Linked DNA regions of Canis lupus familiaris. The protein of the gene in region 2 interacts with the protein of the main gene of each other region in a pairwise test. Links are inferred from orthologs where the notes say so. Each region holds a gene or a part of one and is shown on either strand. Other genes may lie near its edges. The genes, in order: COX5B and BHLHE40.

What was found.
Region 1: the proteins of BHLHE40 (region 2) and COX5B interact in binary tests that used the Homo sapiens proteins (3 or more experiments, as listed by UniProt). The two-hybrid records come from large-scale screens. The link is inferred for Canis lupus familiaris from reciprocal best matches to the Homo sapiens genes BHLHE40 and COX5B.

What each region holds. Positions count from the first base shown.
Region 1 is NC_049231.1:46,040,235-46,044,553, forward strand, and holds the start of COX5B (cytochrome c oxidase subunit 5B), read right to left. Parts: upstream 3,103-4,319; coding exon 3,003-3,102; intron 1-3,002. UniProt on the Homo sapiens protein: Component of the cytochrome c oxidase, the last enzyme in the mitochondrial electron transport chain which drives oxidative phosphorylation.
Region 2 is NC_049241.1:12,720,685-12,725,063, forward strand, and holds the start of BHLHE40 (class E basic helix-loop-helix protein 40), read right to left. Parts: upstream 3,064-4,379; 5' UTR 2,826-3,063; coding exon 2,746-2,825; intron 2,578-2,745; coding exon 2,508-2,577; intron 2,247-2,507; coding exon 2,139-2,246; intron 1,181-2,138; coding exon 1,057-1,180; intron 1-1,056. UniProt on the Homo sapiens protein: Transcriptional repressor involved in the regulation of the circadian rhythm by negatively regulating the activity of the clock genes and clock-controlled genes.

The DNA.
Region 1 (4,319 bases), on a different chromosome or scaffold from region 2:
TTTCATCTCCCCTTTGCCTAGAACAATTGCATAATTAACCTGTCACTGGTTTGAAGTATGTTATTTCCTAATTGCCGTATAAAGAGGTCCTGTATGCTATTGGCTTGTGAAATATAAATTTTAATTCCCTGAGTGAACATGTGTTAAATAAATTATTGGTAAATACAATCTCAGTCTCTGAGCATAGTTTGCCACAAACAAAAAGAGCAAGAAGAGAAGCTGAGAATGGGAAATGAAGTCACCGAAGGTACCTGGGCCAGAGGTTTCTGTTTAATACTGAAAACATCTTTCATAGCTCCTGTTGCCCACAAGCCAAGGTGTGCAAGGTTCTTAGAAGGGTGGGCGTTTAAAAGTGTAAACACTGGGGAATCCCTGGGTGGCTCAGCGGTTTAGCCCCTGCCTTCAGCCCAGGGCCTGATCCCAGAGACCCAGGATCGAGTCCCATGTCAGGCTCCCTGCATGGAGCCTGCTTCTCCCTCTGCCTGTGTCTCTGCCTCTCTCTCTGTCTCTCATGAATAAATAAATAAACTCTTTAAAAAATAATAAAAGTTTAAACACTGCCCCCCCCCCATGGCTGCTGGGACTCGGTTCACATTGTCAGCACAGCCCTATCTTAATCTGATTCCGTGCAGTATGTTTCCATACCAGATGGAGAATCCCTTCAGAGCAATGATTATGCCCTATTCATCTTTGAATCCTCAGTGGCTTCTAGAAGGCCAGCATGTAATTGGATCAAGTAAATTTTAGCCAATTTACTTCTTGGAGAGAGTCTACAGAACAAGTTTTCTAGGGCTGCTACTGGCCCAGTGAGGTCAATTTGAGGTAAACTTGGGGAGGGCTGAAGTCCCAGGTGTTTCCATCTGTCCCATGCAGGCTACATTTTCAAAAGGACCTGGTGGAGCATTCCTTCACAGAAGCACATTTGGTCTTCACTGGACTTCACTCCCTCTACCAAGAAAAATATAGAGTCTCTTCTGAGGCAAATTTCTTACTCCTCTTTAAAAGTGGGTTTTCTTTGAATGGCTTACAGTGTGACTCCCTTCTTTTACCTCCAGTGCAACCGCTCCAAATTAAATTGGAAAAAAAAAAATTTCCAGGGGATCCCTGGGTGGCGCAGCGGTTTGGCGCCTGCCTTTGGCCCAGGGCGCGATCCTGGGGACCTGGGATCGAGTCCCACGTCGGGCTCCCGGTGCGTGGAGCCTGCTTCTCCCTCTGCCTATGTCTCTGCCTCTCTCTCTCTCTCTCTGACTATCATAAATAAATAAATAAATTTTTTTTTAAAAATTCCATAAATCTTAGGAATGTTCCCCAAGAATCTACAGTTGATTTGTACCTATGGTTTGATGTTTAATGCTAGGGGAAAAGCACTGGTCTGAAATATAAGTGTTTTGGGATGGTACCCAATCAGCTGGCTTAGCCAGTCACTTTTTCTTCTGGCCATTTTTCTCATCAGTAAAATTGATTAGACTAGATTAGTATTTCCCAAAAAGTATTGCACAGAATTCTAATCTCAGTAGATGCTTTCGGTAAAAAAGACTTGGAAAGTCCTGCATTTGATGAACTTCCTCTTGGAGATGCACATTCTAGCATATTAAGGTTCTGATTAGGCCTGCAGCAAAAGCCTAATTAAATTAAAAGCATAGTTATTGCTTAATTCACCCGGGGTTTATGTCAGAGATTTTCTATCTTCATTGACCACTCTTTGCCAAGAAGCACCTAACCCAAGTCTCAGCAGACCAGTGAGAAATGCAGTTGTGAGCTGTTATGATTCCCTGCTGCCTGACCACAGATGGTTCACTCCAGCCTATGAAATAGAAATATGGTTGATGCCTAATCATAGGACATTTTTTCAGGTCCTTATTCAGCTCACAAAGACCTGGGATTCTTCAGACTTTGCAGGTGAGCTCCGATGTCAGGACCAGTCTCTAAGTATCCTATCCACTCCCTGCTGTCTCCAGCTCCTTCCACCCTTTGCTCATATCGACTCCTAATGTCTTCTTGATAAACAGTTTTCCCTATTCCTGCTCCATCATTGTCTTTGCCAAAACAAGAAACTTTCAGAGTATTATTTTTTTTTTGCTTTTATATGATTATTTTTAGTGGTCAAAATAACTACATACTGTAGTAAGTCAAACATATGTGACAATTAAGGAAAAGGTTCACTATTAACAGTTTTGTGTTTTTCCATTTTTTCCTTTATACCAGCATTTCTCAACTTCAATACCATTGATATTTTAGATTGGATAATTCTTTGCAGGGTAGGGGTGCAGTCCCGTGTGCATTGTAGGATTTTTACCATTTATGCCATTAGCATTCCCCAGTGGTGACAATCAAAAATGTCCTCAGTCACTGCCATTTGTCCCCTGGAGGGCAAAATTACCCTGCCCCATGCTTATATAGACATATTCAAACAAATGCACATATAAGGGCTGTTTCTTAAAATATACAGATATATAAGTGAATATCGATTACAAAAATATATATTACTATAAAAATTACTAGTAAATTGCTTCTTTAAAAAATATTTTGTGGGGGCAGATGAATGGCTCAGTTAGTTAAAAGTCTGCTTTCAGCTCAGGTCATGATCCATTGGGCTCCCTGCTCAGAAGGGAGTCTGCTTCTCCCTCTGCCCCTCCCCCTGCTCATGCTCTGGCACTCTCTCTCACTGTCAAACAAACCTTTTTAAAAACATATTTTGTGGACATTACAGATCAATACAAACAGATCTAACTCATTATATGTAATTGCTGCATAGTATTTCCAACTATAAATCTACTGTAATTTGCCCATTTCCCCCTTGATGAATATCCAGAATATTTTTGCCTATCAAACAATGCTGCAGTGCATGTCTATGGACACCTAGCCTTCTATTTTGGAGGGTGTGTATATTAAACATCAATTAATTCTGCCAAATTGTTTTCCCAAAAGTTTGGAGCAATTCATGTTCCCATTAGTAGGGCATGTGAGTGCCAGAACTCACCTCTACAAGGTGAGTTACCCACCTTTTGCAAAGTTTGCCCGCTGGGTGGATAAAACACAAGATGCTGTTGGTGTTTGCAGTTTCAGTTCCCTGACCTCCAAGGCAGCTGAGCCTCTCTTCATAAGGCCATTTGCATTTCCCTGTGCTGTGAACTGCCCGGTTTAGCCACTCAAGCAAGCTCTTTAGTCTCTTTTTGCCTCAGTTTTCTTTTCTTTCTGTCGGGCATAAGACGTACCTCTTTATGCTGTTGTGAGGACCAAATGAATTAACACTCATGAAGTGCTCAGAACTGCCTAATACACTGTAAGTGCTGAGTTAATGCTGGCTTTAAATTGGTCAATTCGATATATTCCCAGTTGCTTGAGTTTATCCAGAAGATCTCCAGAAGGATACAAAAGAAGCTAACAGAGGTGCCAGGGTGGCTCAGTTGGTTACACAGCTGCCTCTGGCTCAGGTCATGATCCCAGAGTCCTGGGATCAAGCCCCACATGGGGCTCCTTGCTTGATGGGCAACCTGCTTCTCCCTCTCTTACCACTTGTGTTCTCTTGTGTGCTAAGTGACTAAATAAAATCTTAAAAAAAAAAAAAAAGAAAGGAAGTTAATACAAGTAGCTACTTCTGTGTATTTGTGGGGGTGAGAAAGTGGTGGTGGTTGGTGAGAAACAGGGCCACAAAGGCAGGGGTGGGACTGAGACCCATTGCAGACCTCTTACACTATTTTGAGTTTTAACTGTATGGATGTATTACCTATTCAGAAATGAAACCTTTTTTAATTGGCTATTCATATTCTTATGAGGGGAGGTTCTTTATCTTATTGACGTGCAGACACTCTTTGAATGTTAAGGAGCTTATTTATATTGAGTCCTTTCCCTGGGCCAAGGCTGGTCACTATTCAAAGGGAGTAAAATGTGGCTTCTTCCTTGAATCTATCACAAGAAAGTGGAAGGGGGTGAGGCATTGTTCTTTGTTTGGGCAAAGTTTTCACAAGCTTGAAAAATTGGGTCAAAAAAGGGACTTAAATTTGCATTTAAGTTGCTCTGGCTGGGTCACAGAATCCCTGACCACTCACAAAGACATATGTAGGGCCAATTTTTAATTATAACAAGGGTGTTGGGTGGGGTGAGACAGTTGCTGTGTGCAGGCCTGCTGGGATCATGCATCACCCAGGGATAGCCTAGACCTCAAGGGCCACCTGGGGAGGACTGAGGAAGATATGATAAAGTGGCTGAATCCCCTGCAGCTTGTGGGAGCTAGGACCCTTCTGGCTGAAAAGCCAGGTCAGAACAAATCAAACGTTTTTGTGCAGATACCACAAATCCAAAATGGGTCACCTGGAACT
Region 2 (4,379 bases):
ATAACCCAATCATAGAAACAGAACATAATTAATAGAGATGGACTATTTTCGCTCATTGAATTTATAGCTCATTCTTGAGTTTTCATTATAAGCGACTCAGCAGTGAACATCCTCATATGTTTAGAGGATGCTCTTACCAGAGCAAGATTGGACAGGACCAGTCATAGAATGCGATAAAGAATAAAGGAATGATGTCACCTACGTTAGCTTATTTTCAATTTAAAAAGTTGCAATTGTGCTGGAATCTTTAAATTTCAAAGCTCTTTCTAAGCCTTTTCCACGTATCCTATCTATACGCCCCAAGACATCAAGTACGATCATCTTCCTATTTTCAATAAGAAAGCTGGCAGAAGCACTTGCTAGGCTTCTGGGATTCTCATCACATGGGTCTTGGAAAGAAGGGCAAGAAGAATGGAATGAGGGAGCGAGTAGAAGAATTTCTCCCCAGCCTGTACAGTATTATTTGGAAGGGGTGAAACTAGAAGGTTACAAGGTGACTGTGATTCTCTGGAAGTCAGTAGAAACTAATGATGAAACTTCAGTGGTTTCATTAGATTGTGCAATTCACCAAGATACCTAGTGGCTATTCAGGGAACCACATGAAATGTACGAAAAGCTCCTGCTGTCAACCTGCCAGGATCATACCACACACAGAGTGATAAGGAAGTAGAGAAACAGGAAAACACTGGGGCATACCCATGATTTACTCTCCAATGAGAGAGGACTAAGAAGACCAACTGTAAAACACCCAGGATACAAATTATAGGTGCCTTGGCATTTTAAACAGGAGGGGGAAAATGTCCCAGAACCCAGAAACCCTTAAACCAAAATGCCACGGAAATATTTTACCACTTGACTAATATGTATTCATGCCAGGTGGCACACAGCAGCATTCCAAACGAAAAGTCTGACCTTTTAGGAAAGATAAAATGACATCTCCCCCAACGAATGTGCATAAGCAATTTGTTGTAGGAATGTTTCTTATACCAGATGTTGAGCCCAGAGGCTATTTGTGCTACAACTCTTAGGTGATGATAACCAGACTCGGGCACTCACCAGCTTGTAAACCGCTCTGCAGGGCAATGATTTTCTGCTGCTGCTGGTCAATTAGGTTTGTTAGTGCTTTCACATGCTTCAAGGTAAGTTCCAGAACGACTGCTTTTTCCAAGTGACCCAAAGTCTGGAATAAAAAGAGCCTTAGTCAGCAGTGAGCTCAGAGAAGTCCCACCTCTGGGACACTTAGTAGCAATGGGACATATCTCTAAAGGGTTGGTGGGGGGAGGGAAGAAATAGCATTTCCTGTTTGACTATATTTACTTTTAAATTTGGAGATGATGTTTTTAAAAAGTGTGTGTCCGTATACATACATGCACACACTTCTGACTGAAGAATAAAAAAATGAGTGTCACTTATCTTTGAAGGCATTTTTGGAAGAGGTGGCTGCATCAGGAGAAAGCTCTGACAGATAAATTTCTCCAGCAGCCACTGCTGACCTTAACTCAGGGGAATCCGGAGATAACATTTCTCTGCAGTGGTGTCAACCTGAGGAGGGACTTCTACTGTGTCTGGCAGCCAAGAGGCTTCCCCTAGCTTCTTTTCCTGACACCCTTTCATAACTTTCAGCTCATCCAGGCTTTTTACTTCCTCCTCAAATACTATTTTTTTTTTTCCTTTCCCCAACCGAGCGCTGCCAAGCCAGTAAGCTGTCGGCTACTGCCAAGAAAGGACAGGACATAAAAATCGCGCACCCAAACAAGTCCTCTTTATTTTTAAAAAGGGGGATGGCCGAGAGTAGGGGGGTAAATAAAATCTGCGTGTTGCTTGGTTTAGCCAAGTCAGCAAAACTAAAGAACCCTGAAAATCACCAGAAAGGAAAGACCTAAACTCTTGAAAACGAAGGCTAGTTGGTGTTGGAGCCAACTTGGAGAAGTCCAAGCGGTTCTCACTTCATTTGCATGAGGCTGCCAGAAAAATCCCAGAGCCGGGGGGAATGGTACCCCAAAACAGAGCCACCCGCCAGCCCCGCGCCGGCCATCTGGTCTGCAGTTCCCTGTGGGGCCTGCAGGCGGCGGCGAGTGACCCCCGCCCGCCCTCTGGGTAGAAGAGCTGGCTTGGAGCGGGGCCAGCTTCTCACTTACTGTAAGTTTGAGATGTTCGGGTAGGAGATCCTTCAGCTGGGCGATGCACTCGTTAATCCGGTCACGTCTCTTTTTCTCGATGAGCCGGTGCGGCAGTTTGTAGGTCTCCTGCAAGGCGCACGGGGAGGCGGTGGGCGCCAGGGCAAACGGGCGAGAAGCCCCTCTCCTCCCCTCCCCTGCGGCGCGATAAGAGTTGGGGCCGCGGAGTCACACCCAGAACCACTTTCTGCCCCTTCCCGTCCAAGCCGTTTCACAGAAGCACCGAGCCCACACCTTGCATCCCCCCGCCAAGCTCCAAGTGCGAAAACTTTTCTTGGCAGCAGCGCGCGCGCCTGGGGCTGGGGTCCCGAGGGGCGCGGTGTGTCTTACCTTGCTATCCTCGCTCCGCTTTATTCCCCGCCTCGACTTGTACACTTGGTACATGTGGGCAAAATCCATCCTGCAGGAAGAGGGGCCAGGTAGGGTCGTGACTTTGCGTGCCCGAAGGCTGCAGGCGCCCTGGAGGGTTAGAGGCCCCCGGACGCGCCCGGAGCTGCTCCGAGTTGAGAGCGGCGCAAAACGCAGGGCCGGAGCTGAGGCTTGGAGGGGCCGGGGAGCGCCAACTTACCCAGGTAGGTCTCCGGGCTCCAGTCCCGGAGCTTTGGGCAGGCAGGCGGGGGGCGGTTGCGCGCTGGGGATCCGCTCCATGGCGCGGCGAGCCGGGGCCACTGTGCACTCCCGTCTGCAGTAGCGGAACGTCGGGGTGAGGACTGTCCTGCAAGGGGCTCCCGGGAGGGGGGCTGTCTCTCCGCAAGGGTTCCTCCGGGTCTGAGCTCCCCGAAATCCGCTTGGGCTGCCGGGCGCTGCGGCTTTGAGGTGCTGCTTCAGTTGGGGGCGTGCATGGTGTCCCCGCGGCCTCTGGCTCCGGCTCTGCGCGCAGACTGGCGGTGTGTGCTCCCTGCGCCGTCTGCGCGGTGCGAGCCAAGTGAATGAGAAGTGGGGCGGGCGGGGAGGCGGGAGGGAGCGCGGGGGGGGCCGGCTGGGCGGAGGGGGTGGGGGGGCGAGCTGAGGAGTAATGGAGAGGCTGCGGGCTGGGTTAAATGGGAGCGAGTGGGTGGGTTGGAGCTACGTGTTCTACCCTGTGACTCCAGGCACGTCTGGCCGCTGCCAGGGAGGGAAGGAGCGACCTGCCCGCCCTCCCCCGGCTTCATCACATGAGTCTCACGTGTTGGACAACGCTCCCGCGGCTGCGAGGGAGCCCCCACCCCCAGTCCCGGCCCCCAGGTGTCTGCGGCTGCGGCGGCCTTTCCCCGAAGAGGGGGTGGCAGCGCGGCCTGGGTCCTGCCCAAGCGGGCGGGGGGCGCGGAAGCTGGAAGGGGCCGGGGAGCCGCCGCCGCCGCCGGGCCCGGGTGGTGGTGGTGGGGGGGGGGTAGTAACGTGGGCGAACCTGCCCCAGGGAAATGAAGTAAGTTCCCGTCTCCTGGGAGGGAACGGGGGAGGACGGATCCGCCCGCGTCTGACTCAAGCCGGGAGAGGAATATCCCCTCGCTCGCTCCAGCCCAGCCCTCTTCCTCCTCCCCCGCCCGGCCGGCTCCGAGGAACCGGCGCGCAGCGGAGGGAGTCGCCCGGCCCCCCTGCCCTCCCCGGAGGCTGGTGCTGCTTTCCGTCCCGGCTTCCCCGCCCCCACCCCCACCCCCACCCCGCGCCCGGCGTCCAGGAATCGCCCGCCGCGGGGAGGGGCCGAGGGGCGGGGCGGATGTCACCCCATGGGAAGCGGGCCGGCCGCCAAGCGCAGGGGCAGCCGAGGCCGCCGCCGAGCACGCCGCGCGCACCTGACCGCCGAGCGAGTGCGCCGCGGGCCTGGCTCCCCGGGCTCGGCCGCTGGGGACAGCCCGCAGCCGCGCCGCCCGCACCCTCCCGCGCGCTCCCGGGGTCCCGCGGCCCACGTCCGCCCCGCCTCGGCCAGGCCCGCGCGGAGAGGCCCCGGGCGCGGCGCCCACGTGCCCTCCCTCCCTGCCCCCTCCGGAGCAGAGGCGCCCGGGTCGCCTCCCCTCCGGCTGCAACGTTACACAACTGCGGCGGCGACGCCTGCCCTGCGGCAGCACCGGGCGTGACGCTTCACGTGGCCGGAGCTCGGGCCACGGGGCCGCCGCCTGCGAGGCCCTCCCGGCCGCCCCCGTGGGACGCGGACCCCGGGCCCGGGGAGGGACGCGGTGTGCCCGCCGGGGTGGGCCGCCCCCCAGCCTGCCGGGAACTCGGCGG